4 linked regions of the Macaca mulatta genome follow. The protein of the gene in region 3 purifies or fractionates together with the protein of the main gene of each other region. This does not show direct contact. Links are inferred from orthologs where the notes say so. Each region holds a gene or a part of one and is shown on either strand. Other genes may lie near its edges. The genes, in order: FLNA, FLNC, OTUD1 and AIFM1.

Region 1 (4,128 bases), on a different chromosome or scaffold from region 3:
ACGGGGCAGAGCCCAAGTGACTTAGGGACGAGAACCACCCCACCCCTCGCAGGAGCCCTGGGGAAGGAAAGTCCCTTGTAAGGCGCGCCGGCTGCAGGCCAAGCAGTCCCGCGCCAGATACTGCTCAGCCTTTCCTCGCTCTGGGGCGCGTTTCCTGCAGCGCCAACGCGAGGCCGCGGGGCTGGGAGCATCCTTGCCCACTCCAGGGCCCAGCGACCCACCCCGGAGCCCGGGTTTCACGTCTGATCAGCCAAAGCCCGGGGCCTAGTGGGGGCATTCCAACGGGCGGGGCGGGGTGGGGCAGTCGCGCCCCCGAAGCCCCACCCCACGGCCCCTCCCCGCAGGAGGCCCGCCCCCTGGCCCCGCCCCCCGCCCGCATTTAAAGGGCTCGCTCTCTCCGCAGCGCAACCTCTGCTTCCTTCCTCGCCTCCCGCGCGCCGAGGTGCCTGCGACTTTAATTAAAGGGCCGTCCCCTCGCCGAGGCTGCAGCACCGCCCCCCCGGCTTCTCGCGCCTCAAAATGAGTAGCTCCCACTCTCGGGCGGGCCAGAGCGCAGCAGGCGCGGCTCCGGGTGGTGGCGCTGACACGCGGGACGCGGAGATGCCGGCCACCGAGAAGGACCTCGCGGAGGACGCGCCGTGGAAGAAGATCCAGCAGAACACTTTCACGCGCTGGTGCAACGAGCACCTGAAGTGCGTGAGCAAGCGCATCGCCAACCTGCAGACGGACCTGAGCGACGGGCTGCGGCTCATCGCGCTGCTGGAGGTGCTCAGCCAGAAGAAGATGCACCGCAAGCACAACCAGCGGCCCACTTTCCGCCAAATGCAGCTTGAGAATGTGTCGGTGGCGCTCGAGTTCCTGGACCGCGAGAGCATCAAACTGGTGTCCATCGGTGAGGGACGCCCCGAAGCGCCGGGCGGGCGGGCGGGGGCGGGAATTCCGTGCGTCCTTCCATCCCCCCGGGCGGACCCCTCCAAACCACCTCCTTCCGGGCTGCGGCGCAGCTCCCGAGGCCCCCGGCTGGTCTGCTCCACGCGGGCCTGGAGAACAAAGGCGCGCGGGCTGGCGGGCTGGCCGGCCGGGCGTGCGAACCGCTACGCGCCCCCGCCCGCCGCGCCCCGGCTGGCCGGCGCCCAGGCTGAACTCACATCCTCAGCAGGCCGCGCCCCCGCAGATGTGCTCGCGGTGGGAGTGGGCCTGGGGGGTCGGGCACTGGGCAGGCTCTGGCCCTGCGCCCCATCCTCGAGGAGGAGGAGGCCCAGGCTCTCCCCCCACAGCTGTTTAGAGAGGGCCCTCTGGCTTCAGACTCCCCTTGTTTCTAAAGTGTGGGTTGGAGCTCGTGCGTCCCATTGTCTAGGACTCTGGGCTCTTTCTGTCCCTGGAGGATGCGTCGCCCATCGGAGATGGCTCCAACCACCAGTTTAGATCTACCTCCCCCACACACACAGGGAACCTGGGGGCCAGAAAGAAGCGTAGTTAGCAAAACTGTACCCGGAGTTGGGCGTGGTTGACTGAGGGACCTGGCTTGTAGACTACTTGGACGCCAACTTTTCTGTTCATCTTGGGACAAATTCTTGCTTCCATGTTGGCCTTGCTTTTCTGCGTATAGCACGCAGGAGTTGGTTGGTAGATGCTCCGGCGTGCACTGTGCCAGCCCAGTGTCTGTGTCACTGGACTGGTGAGGCTGGCATTGACCAGGCCTGCTGCAGCATCCCAGTTCTTTCTCAAGATAGGGGCTGCTTGGAAGGGCAGGCACCAGAACGGGTGACTTGGGGGTGACGTTGAACAGGGAGAGGAGAGGGATGATGATTCTTCTCTTCTTCAGAACTGAGAGGCCTTCCAGTTATCCCTGCAGCTCTGGAATGGCCCTTGCTGAACCCAAGAAAGTGAGGGACCAAGACTTGGGTTCCCCCAGCCACTCAGAGGGCAGATCCCAAGAATTGAAGTTCTTTCTTTGGAATGCCAGTTGAGGCGAGGGGCAGGCCCACCCCCCCAAGTCCCAGCCTCAGTCTAGCCAAGCTGAGTCATTTCAGAGTCCTGGATGGTGTGGGGGGGGGGCGACCGGATGTGGGGAGGCGGGCCACACCCCAGTTCTTTGGGGGGGGTCTCCTCCCTCCTCCCAGCTCCCCTCCTCCTTGTGAGCTGGCTGGAGCAGGCCTAGTTCCCAGAGCTTTGCCATATAAGGCAAAAAAATGTTGGAAAGCAGCAGTGATTAGGGGAGGGAGGGGCTGGCTGGCCCGGGGGCTGGGGAAAGGGGGTGGGATGGGGCGGGGCCATCCAGCCAGGCAGTCTCCCAGCCCTGGGCCCTGGTCCTTCACACTCTCTTTTGGGAGGGGGATGGGGACGGAGTAGGTTGGCCTAACATGGACCTGGTGGGCCTGGTTGCCCCCGGTGTGGGGGTCGTTAAGGGGTCTCAGGCTGGATTGGGGTGGGGGCCTGATGGGAAGCCCTGGCTGGCCTTGTTCCCTGGCCTTGCACCCTCAGTCCTCTCTGAGCCCCTCTCCCCGCTGCCATTTAGGGAGAGTGAAAGGCAGCCTCGTGGGGCCAGGACCAATCTGGGAACTGGGGAGGCCACTCTACTTTGAGCGGCCCACCTGGCCCTCCAGGTGCTGCCTGCTGGGCTGGGAAGCAGCTGCCGTGGACGGCCCAGCCCCTCCTCATAGACCCACCCCCTAGTTGACTCACCAGAGAAGTATTTTGTCTGATTATGGGAGAGGCTGACAGAGCTTCTAAAGATGAGCTCTTAGAAAGCCCAAACCATCCTGCCTTGAGCCTGAGACCCAGAAGTAGCTTTGGGTGGGGCCCAGAGCCCAGCAGGGTTGCCATGGCAATGGGGGGGGTGTCGGGGACCCGCCCTAACCACTTCCCCTGTGGCGAGCCTGCCGAGGCCCAGGCCCGTTAGGTGGCAAGTGGGTCAGGCAGTGGGTGGCAAGGGGGTTCCCACAGTGTCTCCTGCTGCCAGCCCGGCATCTCCCGATGGGCCCCAGTGAGTCAGGGCCATGTGGCCCAACTGCTGGTTCCTTTGGGCTCTGGGCCTCTCCCCTGGCCGGGCCTGTGGCCTCCCAGCTCCAAGCTTGGGTCTTCGAGGTAGTAGAGGAAGTGGAGGTGGTGGTGGGGGTCACACTCCTTTACCCAAAGGGTGTTTGCCCAACTCCCCCACTTCCCCTGCCTCACCCCACCCACCCTGGAACAACAGTTGTATTTCCCAACCACCCAGGGCCACCCGTCTTCCTCTTCCTCAGCCCCAGCCCCACTCCAGGCCATGGGCCCTGGATTCTGGGCCAGCTGGAGCCAATCTCCTCCTCCTGGTTCCCCATAGGCCCCTGAGGCGGGTGGCAGACCCCTGCTCTGGCAGCTGTGGACACTGTCCAGCTGTTCTCCAGAGCTGACCATCTGTGGGCTGGGTCTGCCCTCTGCCCTTCCTCTGGGCCCAGGGCTTCTGGCAGTAATCATACCCTGCTATCATCGCATGTCTGTGGGTATCTCCCCTCACCCCAAAGTCTCCTTTACTTCTGAACACCCCCTGGGATGCTGGGCAGAGAGGGCCTCATCCACATCCTACCACTGGTCAAGACGGGGTGTCTCCCTCCTCCTTGGCCCCCCCATCCCGTGCTACCAGACCATGACCCCAAAGCCTGGGAGCGGCCCCTCCCGCACAGCTGTGTGCCCAGTGTAGCCACTCTTGTACTCACAGACAGCAAGGCCATCGTGGACGGGAACCTGAAGCTGATCCTGGGCCTCATCTGGACCCTGATCCTGCACTACTCCATCTCCATGCCCATGTGGGATGAGGAGGAGGATGAGGAGGCCAAGAAGCAGACCCCCAAGCAGAGGCTCCTGGGCTGGATCCAGAACAAGCTGCCACAGCTGCCCATCACCAACTTCAGCCGAGACTGGCAGAGCGGCCGGGCCCTGGGTGCCCTGGTCGACAGCTGTGCCCCGGGTGAGGGGGCACAGAGGCAGGAGAGACTGGGCTGGGGTCGCCCATGGGTGGCCCTTGAGGGGCTTCTGTAGCCCCCGGATTCACAGCCTTCCTTGTGCCATAGGCCTGTGTCCTGACTGGGACTCTTGGGATGCCAGCAAGCCTGTGAATAATGCACGAGAGGCCATGCAGCAGGCGGATGACTG
Region 2 (4,128 bases), on a different chromosome or scaffold from region 3:
CTCGAGAGCCTTGACTGAGCCTCCTCCACATCCAGGAGATCCCCGCCAGCCCCTTCCACATCAAGGTGGACCCATCCCACGATGCCAGCAAAGTCAAGGCCGAGGGCCCTGGGCTGAATCGCACAGGTGAGTGTCTGGGCAGGGGCTGGGCCTGGCTCGAGGTTGGGGTTAAGTGGCTACCAGGCCCTCACCACATCTCTGGGTGGCTCCTCAGGTGTGGAAGTTGGGAAGCCCACCCACTTCACGGTGCTGACCAAGGGAGCCGGCAAGGCCAAGTTGGATGTGCAGTTTGCAGGGACAGCCAAGGGCGAGGCTGTGCGGGACTTTGAGATCATAGACAACCATGACTATTCCTACACTGTCAAGTACACCGCTGTCCAGCAGGTGCGCTCTGCCCCTCCCATGCCCCCGCCTGACTGGACTGTCGGAGCTCTGGGTCTCCCTCCTCCAGTCCCATGGGACCAGTTCTGGATCCTCCATGCCTTCGCTGCCTCCTGCCCTCACTCTTGTGGTGGATCTGAGCTTCAGAGCCCATATTCACCACCAGGATGTTGCAGGACCGTGCCTTATACCCAGTTCTGACCTACCATTGTACCCAACAGGGCAACATGGCAGTGACAGTGACCTACGGCGGGGACCCTGTCCCCAAGAGCCCCTTTGTGGTGAATGTGGCACCCCCGCTGGACCTCAGCAAAATCAAAGTTCAGGGCCTCAATAGCAGTAAGTGGGGCAAGAGCCACCCTGGGAGTGAGGGGTGTTCGGGTGGGGTGGACCGGAGTCTCCTCATGGTGTCACTTGTCCTCCACGCAGAGGTGGCTGTGGGACAGGAACAAGCATTCTCTGTGAACACACGAGGGGCTGGCGGTCAAGGCCAACTGGATGTGCGGATGACTTCGCCCTCTCGCCGGCCCATCCCCTGCAAGCTGGAGCCAGGCGGCGGAGCGGAAGCCCAGGCTGTGCGCTACATGCCCCCGGAGGAGGGGCCCTACAAGGTGGACATCACCTACGATGGTCACCCAGTGCCTGGCAGCCCCTTTGCTGTGGAGGGTGTCCTGCCCCCTGATCCCTCCAAGGTGAGGAGATAGGAGCTGGTTGGGGCTGGGAGTTGGGGACTTGTCGGGAAGCTGGAAGAGTCATAGCGGGCAGAGGCCAGAGGGACTTATGTGCCTGGAGTGGGCACAGCCAAGAACGTGGGACTGAGACCAGCCCCACCCCACCACCTTCCTTGGAGACAACTTAGCTATTAAGAGCCTGGCCTTAGAGTCAGACCTGGGCTTGAATCCCAGGTCCACTACCTGGGGAAATTGCTTCATCTCTCTGCCTCCATGTCATCACCTGGAATTGTTATAAGCACTCAGTCTGCAATAGCAGCCACAGTTGGAGGTGATGAGTTAGGTGGGGGCCATGAAGGCTGGGATGGGAAGGCCGGGTGCAGGGAACCCACACACCTGCCTCTTCCCCTAGGTCTGTGCTTACGGCCCCGGTCTCAAGGGTGGACTGGTAGGCACCCCCGCACCATTCTCCATCGACACCAAGGGGGCTGGCACAGGTGGCCTGGGGCTGACCGTGGAGGGCCCCTGCGAGGCCAAGATCGAGTGCCAGGACAATGGTGATGGCTCATGTGCTGTCAGCTACCTGCCCACGGAGCCTGGCGAGTACACCATCAACATCCTGTTTGCCGAAGCCCACATCCCTGGCTCGCCCTTCAAAGCTACCATCCGGCCCGTGTTTGACCCAAGCAAGGTGCGGGCCAGTGGGCCGGGCCTGGAGCGCGGCAAGGCCGGTGAGGCAGCCACCTTCACTGTGGACTGCTCAGAGGCAGGCGAGGCAGAGCTGACCATTGAGATCCTGTCGGATGCCGGGGTCAAGGCCGAGGTGCTGATTCACAATAATGCGGATGGCACCTACCACATCACCTACAGCCCTGCCTTCCCCGGCACCTACACCATTACCATCAAATATGGCGGGCATCCGGTGCCCAAATTCCCCACCCGCGTCCATGTGCAGCCTGCGGTCGATACCAGTGGCGTCAAGGTCTCAGGGCCTGGTGTTGAGCCACATGGTGAGTGGTCAGGAGGAGCCAAGTGAGGTCAAGTGGCAGGTGCAGGAGCCGGATAGTCAGTGGGAGGGAGGGAAGCAGAGCTGAGGGCTGGCGGAGCCACCTGGCATGAAGGGAGGGCTCTCAGGGCAGCCCTAAAGTCCCTACTGGCCCAGAAGCCCCAGAGAAGGAGTGGAGGGGAAGACTGGGAGTGGAGACTGGCCTCCGCTCTTGTGGCAAAACTGCACCTGCCTCTGGGCGTTTTCCTGGAGAGGTCTCTTCTTTCATGTGCTTAAGGGGTGCTCTGATGCAAAAAGCTGCAACTCTGCTCTGGAGGGGGGCGGGGGAAAGCTCTGGGGTAGAGGATGACAAGAGTCAGGAGACAGTAAGTGGGAATGGGCCATCTGCCGGGGCCAGACCCTGGCCAGGCATGGGGCACGGCAGAGGGATGCAAGACCCAGGCCCACAGCCTGGTGGGTGACTCATGTGAACAGAGAATGTCACTACATGGAGAAGGGAGTGAAGGCAGAGGCTGGAGCTCACGGAGGTGCAGGGGAGGGTAGGGGGCCCAGCCTCTGATCAGAGGAGCAGCCTGGGAGTTGGGGAGTGGGAGAGGAGGGGGGAGGAGGGGAAGAGGAGAAGGAGAGGAGAGGGAGAGGAGGGGGAGAGGAGAGGGAGCATCTGTGTGAAGGCTGCCCCCACCCCTGCTGAGCATGCCACCCCTGGGCTCCAGGTGTCCTGCGGGAGGTGACCACTGAGTTCACTGTGGATGCAAGATCCTTAACAGCCACAGGCGGCAACCACGTGACGGCTCGCGTGCTCAACCCCTCGGGGGCCAAGACAGACACTTATGTGACAGACAATGGGGACGGCACCTACCGAGTACAGTACACCGCCTACGAGGAGGGTGAGGGCCGGTGGAGGGCCGGGCGAGCGGGCAGGGCCGGCCTCTGATGATATTGCGCTCGGGGCAGGAGGGGTGGTGGGGGTGCACACTCCCTGATTGATGCCCCTGTGGCTGGCTTCCAGGCGTGCATTTGGTGGAGGTCCTGTATGATGAGGTCGCTGTGCCCAAGAGCCCCTTCCGAGTGGGTGTCACCGAGGGCTGTGATCCCACCCGCGTCCGGGCCTTCGGGCCAGGCCTGGAGGGTGGCTTGGTTAACAAGGCCAACCGCTTCACTGTGGAGACCAGGTATCCTCCCCATTTGCTAGCCTAAACCTGTGACCACCCTTTCCCAGCCCCTGGCCCTCCTTGCTCGTCCCTCTGTCTGTACCTCAGCCCCACCCCATCCTCTCTCTGGGGTGAGGCAGGAGCAGACCCCCCGACAGGACTCCAGATCAGCCCCTGGCTCATTTCTCCTCAGCTGGGTCCCCAGCGGCCTGCCCTCTTTCCTCCCTGTCCCCCCATTCAGCTACTCCCTCATCTTCACTCACTGGTCTTATGAAGCTGATGGGGGGGTGTCATCTCTCAGGGGAGCCGGCACCGGGGGCCTTGGCCTAGCCATCGAGGGTCCCTCGGAAGCCAAGATGTCCTGCAAGGACAACAAGGATGGTAGCTGCACTGTGGAGTACATCCCCTTCACCCCTGGAGACTATGACGTCAACATCACCTTCGGGGGGCGGCCCATCCCAGGTGTGCAGAGAGAGTGGTCGGGGCCTCAGGGAAGACAAGGGAGGATGCAGGATGCTCACCCCACAAGGGGGAAACTGGAAGGAAGTTAGATGAGAACATTCATAGAGAGGATAGCCAAGAGCAGGTCGGGGCTGGAGCCCAGCCAGAGGGAGGACGTGGAGGAGGCAGGCAGTGAGGGTTGATGCGACAGCCCCCCAGTCAATCCCAGGAACACGCTCTGGCCTCCTAGCCCCTTGCCTGGAGCTCGAGACGTCGGCTGTGCAGGTCCACTGCTCAGTGTGTGTCTGGAAACTCAGACACCGCCCACTCCTCTTGGTGGCTCAGGCCAGCCTTGGGCCTTCTTGCCCGCATCGTCTGCAGAATTCCCCTTGCCTTCTGCAGGCCCAGCTGCCTGGACAGGTTATGTTTTCAAATATTGCATGACTTGGGACTGCTGAAATTGGAAGTATTTTCCCTT
Region 3 (4,792 bases):
CATTTACCTTCTTCTGAGTTAATTTACCTAACCGGCTGGAGTGACCTGAGCTGGGACCCTGCCAGTCATACCGCCCAAAAATAATTAAAAGCCCTGGCTACGGTCAAGGGACCTGGATAGTAATCTTGGCTTCACCACTATCTGACGAACCTTGGGAACTCGCTTTCCATCTACTCATTCACTTAGTAAATATTAATTAGGTCCAATTACGTGCCAGGTACTGTGTTAGGGAATGGAAATTTAAGAGCAAGACCCAAGTCTCTCAATTCATGGAATTCACATTCTACTGGAAAGGTTGGGGACCGGATTACAGCCTACATCACCTACAGGTTCAGTCTCCCTATCTCTAAAATGTTAGGACAACCTCTAGGTTCAATTTGAATGTTTGGAGCCTGTTAATTTAGCATTTGATCAAAGCTCAGAATACAGCAAAAGTCTCCCACTACCTCTGGCTTTCCCTTACAAAGGTGGGTATTACAAAAAGGCTCGGTAGAAGTATTTTCTATAGCCTATCTTGCCCCAGAAGGCAGGTCACGACTTTCTCTACCGCTTTTGACCTCTGGCTAGCAATCGCATCTATTTTCAAAAGGCCCTAGGTGATACTGCATTTGGTATTCTGAGAAAGGCTGTTTATAAAGGGCTAAAAGGCTTCCTTGCTTTCGCCCAAGCAGGTATTTGCCAAGTGACATAGGTCAGAGGTGCAGAAAAGTTGGTTTTGTCTTCGCAGGGCAGGAGAATCCACTAGAGGACTCACCCTTAACAGGTGGGTCCAAGGAAGTGCATAGAAAAGACGCAGTGGTAAAACTAGCTGGGCACCTGTAATCCCTGCCCAAGGCAAGGCTGAGGAAGGGGGATCGCTTGGACCTCGGAGGTGGAGGTCGCAGTGGGGCATGATGGCGCCACTGCAGTCAGCCTGGAAGGCAGAGCAAGACCTTGCCTTAAAAAGGAAAAGAAAAAAAAAAAAAAAGAGGAAAAGACTCGTGGTGCCAGGATTGGTGGCTAGGGCCTGTAATCCCAACACTTTGGGAGGTCAAGGCGGGAAACAACTTGAGGCCAGTAGTTCGATACCAGACTGGGCAACTGTAATAGTGAGACCCTCGCCTTAAAAAAAAAAAAAAAAAATTAGCCGGGGGCGGTGGTGCACACCTGGGTTGAGGTGGGCGGATCGCTTGAGTCCGGGAGGTCAAAGCTTCAGTGAGCTATGGACTGCGCCACTACACTCCAGCTTTGGAGATAGGTGAGACCCTCATCTCTAAAAAGATAAAAGAGGCAGTAGTGGATGCAAGGAGGGATGGTAGCCCATGACCATGCAGAGGCCAAACAGCATTCTGTTCTCCACACCCATGCCAGAAGCTTTCCTGCCAAGCAAGCTTTCCGAGCATGCTAACTCGCTCCAAGAAGCGCCCATCCCGCAGCACCCACTGCAGCCGCTGCGGAGAGTGGTGCAGCGCAGAAACCCGTGCCCAGGTCGGGGAAGCGGTCTGCGGGAGTCACGTGGGCGGGAGGCCCAGCCAGGAATTCCCGGACTGCTCAGGCCTCCGAGCCCCCGGCCTCGCCCCGCCCGCGCGCGCGACGAGGGCCACGCCCGTGACGTCGGCGGAGCGGAGCAGGGGGCGGGGCGCGGGCCGGAGTGGGCGGGGCGAGCCGACGCGGCTGAATCGGGCGCCGAGACAAGCCGCGCATTCCAGCGAGTCCACGTGACGCGGCCGCGAGGCCTGAGGTAAACAACCGCGGCCCCGCCTCCCGGGCCTCCGCGCGCACCGCGCTCCTCCTCGCCGGCAGGACGCGCTCCAACGAGGCGGGCGGCTTCCTCCGTGAGTCCCCAGCGGCCGCCGCAGGCCGGAGCAGCTGCAGCGGGCGCGACGCCCCGGGTCTGCGGGCTGAGCGCACCGGCAGGAGTCGAGCTCGCGTCCCGTCCCCGCCCCCCCCACGCTGTGGCGCAGCAGGAATTTGGCCGGGACCCGGGCGCTATTCGCGGCTGCTGACGCGCGGCGGCCAGCGGCCTTGCGCTCATCTCTATTCTGGGGCCGTTGGGTCACCGCGCTCCGCCGGCCCCCTCCCCCGGGCCCGGAGGGTGTGTCCCCCGCTCCGGGGCTCGCCGCGCCTATAAGGGGCCGAGCGGCGGGCAGGGACATGCAGCTCTACAGCAGCGTCTGCACCCACTACCCCTCCGGGTCACCGGGTCCCACGGCCGCCGCCCCCGCGCCACCCGCCGCCGCCGCCCCCACCTTCAAGGTCTCGCTGCAGCCCCCGGGAGCCGCCGGCGCCGCGCCCGAGCCCGAGACCGGTGAGTGCCAGCCCGCCGCGGCCGCCGAGCACCGTGAAGCCGCCGCTGTCCCCGCCGCCAAGATGCCCGCCTTCTCCTCCTGCTTCGAGGTGGTGTCCGGGGCCGCCGCGCCCGCCTCTGCCGCCGCCGGCCCGCCTGGCGCGTCCTGCAAGCCGCCGCTGCCGCCGCACTACACGTCCACCGCGCAGATCACCGTGCGGGCCCTGGGCGCCGACAGGCTCCTGCTGCACGGGCCCGAGCCCGCTCCCGGCACCGCGGGCTCCGCCGCTGCCCCGCGCGGCCGCTGCCTCCTGCTGGCCCCAGCGCCCGCAGCCCCGGTCCCGCCGCGGCGGGGCTCCTCGGCCTGGCTCCTGGAGGAGCTGCTGCGGCCCGACTGCCCCGAGTCCGCGGGCTTGGACGCGACACGGGAGGGGCCCGATCGGAACTTCCGACTGAGCGAGCACCGCCAGGCCTTGGCCGCCGCCAAGCACCGAGGCCCCGCGCCGACCCCGGGGAGCCCCGACCCCGGTCCGTGGGGCGAAGAGCATTTGGTGGAAAGGGGCCCTAGGGGCTGGGAGAGGGGCGGCGACCGCTGCGACGCTCCCGGTGGGGACGCGGCGCGGAGGCCCGACCCAGAGGCCGAGGCACCCCCAGCCCGGAGCATCGAGACCGCCCCGAGCAGCGCGGCGGAGCCGGTGATCGTCTCCAGGTCAGATCCCAGAGACGAGAAGCTGGCCCTGTACCTGGCCGAGGTGGAGAAGCAGGACAAGTACTTGCGGCAGAGGAATAAGTACCGATTCCACATCATTCCCGACGGCAACTGCCTCTACCGAGCTGTCAGCAAGACGGTGTATGGGGACCAGAGCCTGCACCGGGAGCTGAGGGAGCAGACGGTGCACTATATCGCCGACCATCTCGACCACTTCAGCCCCCTGATTGAGGGCGACGTGGGGGAGTTTATCATCGCTGCTGCCCAAGACGGGGCATGGGCTGGGTACCCGGAATTGCTGGCCATGGGGCAGATGCTGAATGTGAATATCCACTTAACTACTGGAGGGAGGCTGGAGAGCCCCACGGTGTCTACTATGATTCATTATTTGGGCCCAGAGGATTCCCTGAGGCCTAGTATTTGGCTCAGTTGGCTCAGTAACGGACACTATGATGCTGTATTTGATCACTCCTATCCTAACCCAGAGTACGACAACTGGTGCAAACAAACTCAAGTGCAAAGGAAACGCGACGAAGAACTTGCCAAATCTATGGCCATATCCCTATCCAAAATGTATATTGAACAAAATGCATGCTCTTGAAATGTCTCAAAACCTTACACCCTGGGAATAATTGCATACATAACTTGTGTTTGGAGAATCACATGAACTCTAATCAGGGTAATAGCACTTTCAAACTTGCTAGTAGATTTTATTGTAGGTGTAATGCCTTAATCATCTTTTTGAATGTTTTCTCGGAGCTGAAGGTTGCTGGGCCACCTAAATGATGTTTCATGATAGCTTTGGGTGATTTTATTGCTATTTATAATTTGCTGTATAAAGTGAGCACTACTTAATTTGCAAGCTGATTTCTCACAGTGTAAATTTGTTCATTCCTGGTAGTCTATTTTCTATAAAAATGTATTTTTGCACAACATTTTTAAAAACTGGTGTACCTTCATCTATGATGTGTTCAGGCATAAATCCAGAGAAGTGCTTTATATGAAATGTATTATTTTGAACAGAATTTGTGATTTGGTAGTTATTTTATGTTGTTGAAATTTGAATTTCACAATTCTTAGATAATTATTTCAAATGGATATTGAAACATTCTTGTTACCAGATGTTTGGCCCATTCCATTTTGATGAAACAGAGCTGTTGTTTTGGAAATCATTATTTTTCTAGAAATGGTGAATCTTTTAAAGAAAATTATCTAATGGAAGGTTGTGGGAAGGTGTTTTTTTTCTTTTTTTTCCTGTTTTAAGGGATAGTACCAGGTCTTACTTGAATGAAAGTCTGATATTTGCTGATGGCAGAATGGTTATTCTGTACCCTGGTTGATATGTAGAGTAGATCGTCTGGTGCTCTCAATTGTTTTTATTGACATTTGTTATTTTGTTATAAAGAGAATGTTAATATGGTATAAAACTCTGTGACAAGATAAGCCTCCTGCTTTAACTTCTTGGATCCAACTAAGAGATTTATAAACTAATGGCATAAATGTCTGGAGCCACCCTTGGCAGTTAGAGCAGGAGAACACTGTCTTAATATTTCTTTTACATTCTTTCAGAAGGTGAAATAGGATTGCCCTGTATTAATGTAGAAATGTCTGTAAACAGAGCTTGTATGGTTTGCTGGGTCAAACAATGTTTCCAACTTAAAATCTATCTCATTGCCACTTTAACTACTTTTAGTCATATTTATTAAGTAATGCAGTTTGTACTTTTTTTATTTTGTAACATTTTGTGATTTTTTTGTACAAAACTGTATTTGTACAATAGAGCAATTCCCAGCTGATGGAATGAATGAATAAAATGC
Region 4 (4,782 bases), on a different chromosome or scaffold from region 3:
GTGCTGGGATTACAGGCATGAGCCACGGAGCCTGACCACATCAATACTTCTTAGTATGATGCCCCCTGAAAATGTGCTGGGGTTTGTTTTTTCTTAAACACTTCCAAGCCTTTTCATTTAACAAACAGCATGGTGCTTCCTCTATGACACTTTACAAATATTAGCTCATTTAGTCTTCCGAACACCCTCATGAGATTGGTAGATGAGGAAAATGAGGCACAATTAAGTGACTTGCCCAGGTGGCAGAGCCATGATTCAATCTGGGTTGGTCTGGATCCAAGGTCAACATGTTTAACAATGAAAAATGTTATCTTTGGTCCCAAAGTATTCATCATCTGAAATATCATTCCTTTTCCTCCACGATTTGAATTTTACTACTCATCCTTCAAGATACAGCTCAAATAACTTCTTGTATGAAGTTCTTCCATAGCGATTCCATCCCATAGTCTTCTCTCTTGCTCTGTCCGGCACGACACCGGATATTAATTTCAATGACCGGTGTATGTCATCTCCCCAACTAGACAGTGGCCACTTCCTATACAGATGCTACGTCCAAATAAACCCATTGTAAATTGAAAATATCTTAAGTCAAAACTGCATTTAATACCCTGACAAACCCATCATAAAGTCGAAAAAACGTAAGTTGAACCATGGTTAAATCCAGATGCTCCTCGACTTACATGGGGTTAGGTCTCATTAAACCCATCATAAAGTCGAAAAATTGTTAAGTTGAACCATTGTGAGGGGTAAGTCGGGGACCATCCGTACTTTTCATACCCACTAGAGCCCCTTTTATAGTACAATCCAAGAGGCAAATGCTCAACAAATACTTGTTAAATGAATATGTAAGTTGAATATTTGAAACAGGCACATTTCATGCTCTGCATGCAGCCAAAACATTATTTCCAATTTAGCTTATATCTGGCAGAGTCAAAACACCTATTTATACTCAGCCCCTCACCTTACTCCCATAACTGAAAGTTCTGCTTAGAAGACTTCTCTTCCCATAAAGTCTGAGAAGCACAAACGCTTTTTGCTAACATCCTGCTCTCAAGCATCCTGAAACCACAGCAGGAGACCGTGTGTATCTGTAGCACCTGGTACAGTATCTAGGACACACAACTGCACTAAAAAATAAAGGTGACAGGCGGGAAGGAGAGCGCCGAATTACTCGTCCGCGAAACGGGTTGGGTGGGAAAGAGCCGGCAACTGGTAAAAGATGGCAGTACACGCCGGATCTGGGAAGCCAGGTTCCGCGCCTCGGACTCATGGAAAAATTGGATCTGGATCATAGCAAAAGAATCAGGAAGGCTTCAGTATCAAGTAACTAGTGGCCTAAAACCAAAAAACAAAGTGCGGTGCTGGGGCTACGCTGCTGTGAGATGCTGTTATCAGTTCCTGTCACCAACACAGCGACAGCACCAGGCACAACCGCCAATCAAAGCGGCCCCACGAGTCCCTCCTTGGACAGCTTCCTTAACTCGTTCAGTCCAACACCGTGCCACCAACTCGCGAATACTGGCTACCTAGAGCCAAGGTCTTTGCGAGCGTGCAGTCAGGTAGTGCATGCGCAAATCCTCTCGCCGTGCGGACCAATCGCAATGTGGCAGCGAGTGCTACGCCTGCGCAGTAGGCCTCCGGTCGCCGTTTCTCTTCCCCGGCTCTAGCAGGCCGGCTTCTCTGTCCAATGCCCACCCGGAGCTGGGAGGAGGAGTCTGCGTAGTGTGCGTGTGAAGAGACAGGGGGAGCTGGCCGGGGCTCGCGGTGTTTGACCCGTCGGTCGTGCGTGAGAGGAAAGGGAAGGAGGAGGACCCGAATAGCGGTCGCCGAAATGTTCCGGTGTGGAGGCCTGGCGGCGGGTGCTTTGAAGCAGAAGCTGGTGCCCTTGGTGCGGACCGTGTGCGTCCGAAGCCCGAGGCAGAGGAACCGGCTCCCAGGTGATTGACCCATTCCAGGCAGCCTCCAAGTCCAAGGGCCTGGCGCCTTAGGCTCTCTGTGCGTTGCAGCCCTCTACCCTCGCGTCCCCCGAGAAACTTAACACATAGTCGCGTGAATTCCAAATTGGCAGACTCCGAACCCTGAGTCTTGCAAGCGGAGGAATTGGTTCAGCCATGCCGACCTGACCTTCAAGAGATTTGAACCCAGTAGTCGGCCTGAGGCCTTTTCCGGGGAGCGTTTGCTGTTCAGGGATCCCAGAACAACTGGCCGTCGCCGCCTCCCCGCCATCCCCATTCCCCACCCCCCTTTTTAGAGCAATGAGGTCAAGTAGACTTTATCATTTACCGAATGAGACTTTAAACAGGACGTTTAAGACCTAAGCCTAAGTTTCTTGTGTAAATGAGGGTATTATCTGCTCAGCCTCGCAAACCATAGATGAGATCCATGGATTTGAATGCCCAGTGAAATAGAAACGGTGCAAGGCAAGTAAGGAGTCGGTCGGTTGTGCACCAGACACATAGAGAATTGGCCCAGAATTAATTGGAGATGCCTGAGCCGTGTAGTTCTTGGTGGTTTTTAAGGCTTCAAAGAAACAGTTTGCAGAACGCATTGTATTTGTCCTCCGTTAAGTTGTTCCATCAAATTTTAGAGCTGGAAGGGTTTTGTGGTAAAGTTCAACCCACTCATTTTATAGATAATAAACTGAGGCACAGAGAGGTGAAACTACTTGCCAAAGGTCACATCGTTAATAGGTAGAGCTAAGGATAGTTTGCTAGTCTCCAGGTCCTTAATCCCTTTGCTGTAACTCCATACTGCTTCCTAAAGTTGACCCCAAAAAGTTAATGAATTCGGGTCTCTTCCCAGTAATTAGCCCATTGTACATCAGATATCCCTGAATTTATCTGAGCATTGCTTGAGCCTGCTTATTTTCGTACTGCATTACTTCATGGGGACAATGAATGATCCACCTGTAGGAGCTGCTTTAAAAAAAAATCAGTAATCTTTCAGTGTCCATCCCCAGGGCATTTGCAATGTCGGAAGTTATCCTTGAGGCTTTTACAATACAGAAACACCTGGGTGCTTTAAAAATAAAAAGTGGAAAATGTTTTCCTTGGGTTGTTAGGGTCTTTGCAAATGTGCATTTGAACAGTTTTTCCAGTTGCTATGCACAATGAAAATGTTTCCTGATAGGTGTATTTGAGTTATGTCCTGGGACATATTGCTCTTGGAACTTAAAACCTCTGCTTAGCTTTTAAACTAATGCCTTATCAATGGATGTCATCTTTGTGGGTTTTGTGCATTGAAATGATGGTGCTCTGTGCTTGTTGCACAGAAACTGAAATAACCTGAATTTTTATTTATTTTTATTTATTTTTTTTTTTTGAGATGGAGTCTCGCTCTGTTGCTCAGGCTGGAGTGCAGTGGATGCGATCTCGGCTCACTGCAAGCTCTGCCTTCTGGGTTCACGCCATTCTCCTGCCTCAGCCTCCCAAGTAGCTGGAACTACAGGCACCCGACACCATGCCTGGCTAATTTTTTTTTTGTATTTTTAGTAGAGATGGGGTTTCACAGTGTTAGCCAGGATGGTCTCGATGTACTGACCTCGTGATCTGCCCGCTTTGGCCTCCCAAAGTGCTGGGATTACAGGCGTGAGCCACCGCGCCCGGCAATAACCTGAATTTTTTCATCCACACTGGCCTTTCAGACTTTGAGTAGTTGTTTTGCTTAAGTCTCACGACTTTTACCAGCATTCTAAAGTCTGACCAAAAGTTCTCATCAATTAAATATGCATTTGCAAAGTTAAGTTGATGTATTAGACATTGGAAAGTGGTTGGTGATGTTAGAACTACTGAAAAATACAGACTCCAGTGGTTTTTTCCACTGCATGTCTTTGTTTGAAGGCAGTCTACTGTAGAATATATTCAGACTTCCTGACATATCCATCCACCTCTTTGCATACACTTATTCTTTGTCCTTTGGCCATGCACCAAAGTATGACATCACCTGCCTTTAAAAATGGGTGAGGGTAGTGTTACAATTTCAAAAAGAAGTTCTGATACTCTCATTATAGGAATTAACTCTGTTTTGTGGCTTGATTACTAATTGCCTTTAATCTGATTTCTTTTTCATGTAGTAGCATCTACCATGTGTTTTTGCACAGGTGAGAAAGAGCGAGGTTCGTTTATACACCATTTCTCCCTCCACCTTACCTTTAAACTTCCTTTTTTTTTTTTTTTTGAGACAGAGTCTCGCTGTGTTGCCCAGGCTGGAGTGCAGTGGAGTGATCTTGGCTCACTGCAGCCTCTGCCTGCCGGGTTCAAGCAATTCTCCTGCCTCAGCCTCCCGAGTAGCTGGGACTAGAGGTGTGCACCACCACGCCCGGCTAATTTTTTGTATTTTTAGTAGAGACGGGGGTTTCACCATGCTGGCCAGGCTGGTCTCAAACTCCTGACCTCATGATCCGCCTGCCTCGGCCTCCCAAACCTTTAAACTTTAAACCTGCCTTGCAACTATCTCATTGACATCTGTCACCATTGTCAGGTTCATTTCCATTAGATGTTGCATTCTGCCTTAAAACCATGATAGCTACTGTTTATTTACTTTATTTATTTGGATGCTCTGCCTCCTTCCAGAAATGATTGAAGGTAACTCATAGTCAACACTCTATGTCTGCATTCAGACACAGAGGAGCAGATAGGTTAGATAATAGATATTTTCTGTTCTGTAATATTTTGTTTGGTCACCAAACACTGCCGCCCATGTTATCAAACTGATCACCGACTCCCTGACTGTAGGTTCAAATGTTTGAACATTTTTCTCTATTCGGAATCCTTCTCACCTCTT

What was found.
Region 1: the proteins of OTUD1 (region 3) and FLNA purify together in Homo sapiens (affinity purification with mass spectrometry; 3 studies listed by BioGRID and IntAct, with this or other methods). This does not show direct contact. The link is inferred for Macaca mulatta from reciprocal best matches to the Homo sapiens genes OTUD1 and FLNA.
Region 2: the proteins of OTUD1 (region 3) and FLNC purify together in Homo sapiens (affinity purification with mass spectrometry; 3 studies listed by BioGRID and IntAct, with this or other methods). This does not show direct contact. The link is inferred for Macaca mulatta from reciprocal best matches to the Homo sapiens genes OTUD1 and FLNC.
Region 4: the proteins of OTUD1 (region 3) and AIFM1 purify together in Homo sapiens (affinity purification with mass spectrometry; 3 studies listed by BioGRID, with this or other methods). This does not show direct contact. The link is inferred for Macaca mulatta from reciprocal best matches to the Homo sapiens genes OTUD1 and AIFM1.

What each region holds. Positions count from the first base shown.
Region 1 is NC_133426.1:160,544,293-160,548,420, forward strand, and holds part of FLNA (filamin-A), read left to right. Parts: intron 1-403; 5' UTR 404-519; coding exon 520-892; intron 893-3,694; coding exon 3,695-3,943; intron 3,944-4,046; coding exon 4,047-4,128. UniProt on the Homo sapiens protein: Promotes orthogonal branching of actin filaments and links actin filaments to membrane glycoproteins. Anchors various transmembrane proteins to the actin cytoskeleton and serves as a scaffold for a wide range of cytoplasmic signaling proteins.
Region 2 is NC_133408.1:168,478,373-168,482,500, forward strand, and holds part of FLNC (filamin-C), read left to right. Parts: intron 1-35; coding exon 36-126; intron 127-214; coding exon 215-384; intron 385-602; coding exon 603-720; intron 721-810; coding exon 811-1,073; intron 1,074-1,464; coding exon 1,465-2,062; intron 2,063-2,771; coding exon 2,772-2,945; intron 2,946-3,067; coding exon 3,068-3,230; intron 3,231-3,510; coding exon 3,511-3,671; intron 3,672-4,128.
Region 3 is NC_133414.1:24,894,700-24,899,491, forward strand, and holds the start of OTUD1 (OTU domain-containing protein 1), read left to right. Parts: upstream 1-1,736; 5' UTR 1,737-2,133; coding exon 2,134-3,576; 3' UTR 3,577-4,792. UniProt on the Homo sapiens protein: Deubiquitinating enzyme that specifically hydrolyzes 'Lys-63'-linked polyubiquitin to monoubiquitin.
Region 4 is NC_133426.1:136,618,877-136,623,658, reverse strand, and holds the start of AIFM1 (apoptosis-inducing factor 1, mitochondrial), read left to right. Parts: upstream 1-1,739; 5' UTR 1,740-1,831; coding exon 1,832-1,937; intron 1,938-4,782. UniProt on the Homo sapiens protein: Functions both as NADH oxidoreductase and as regulator of apoptosis.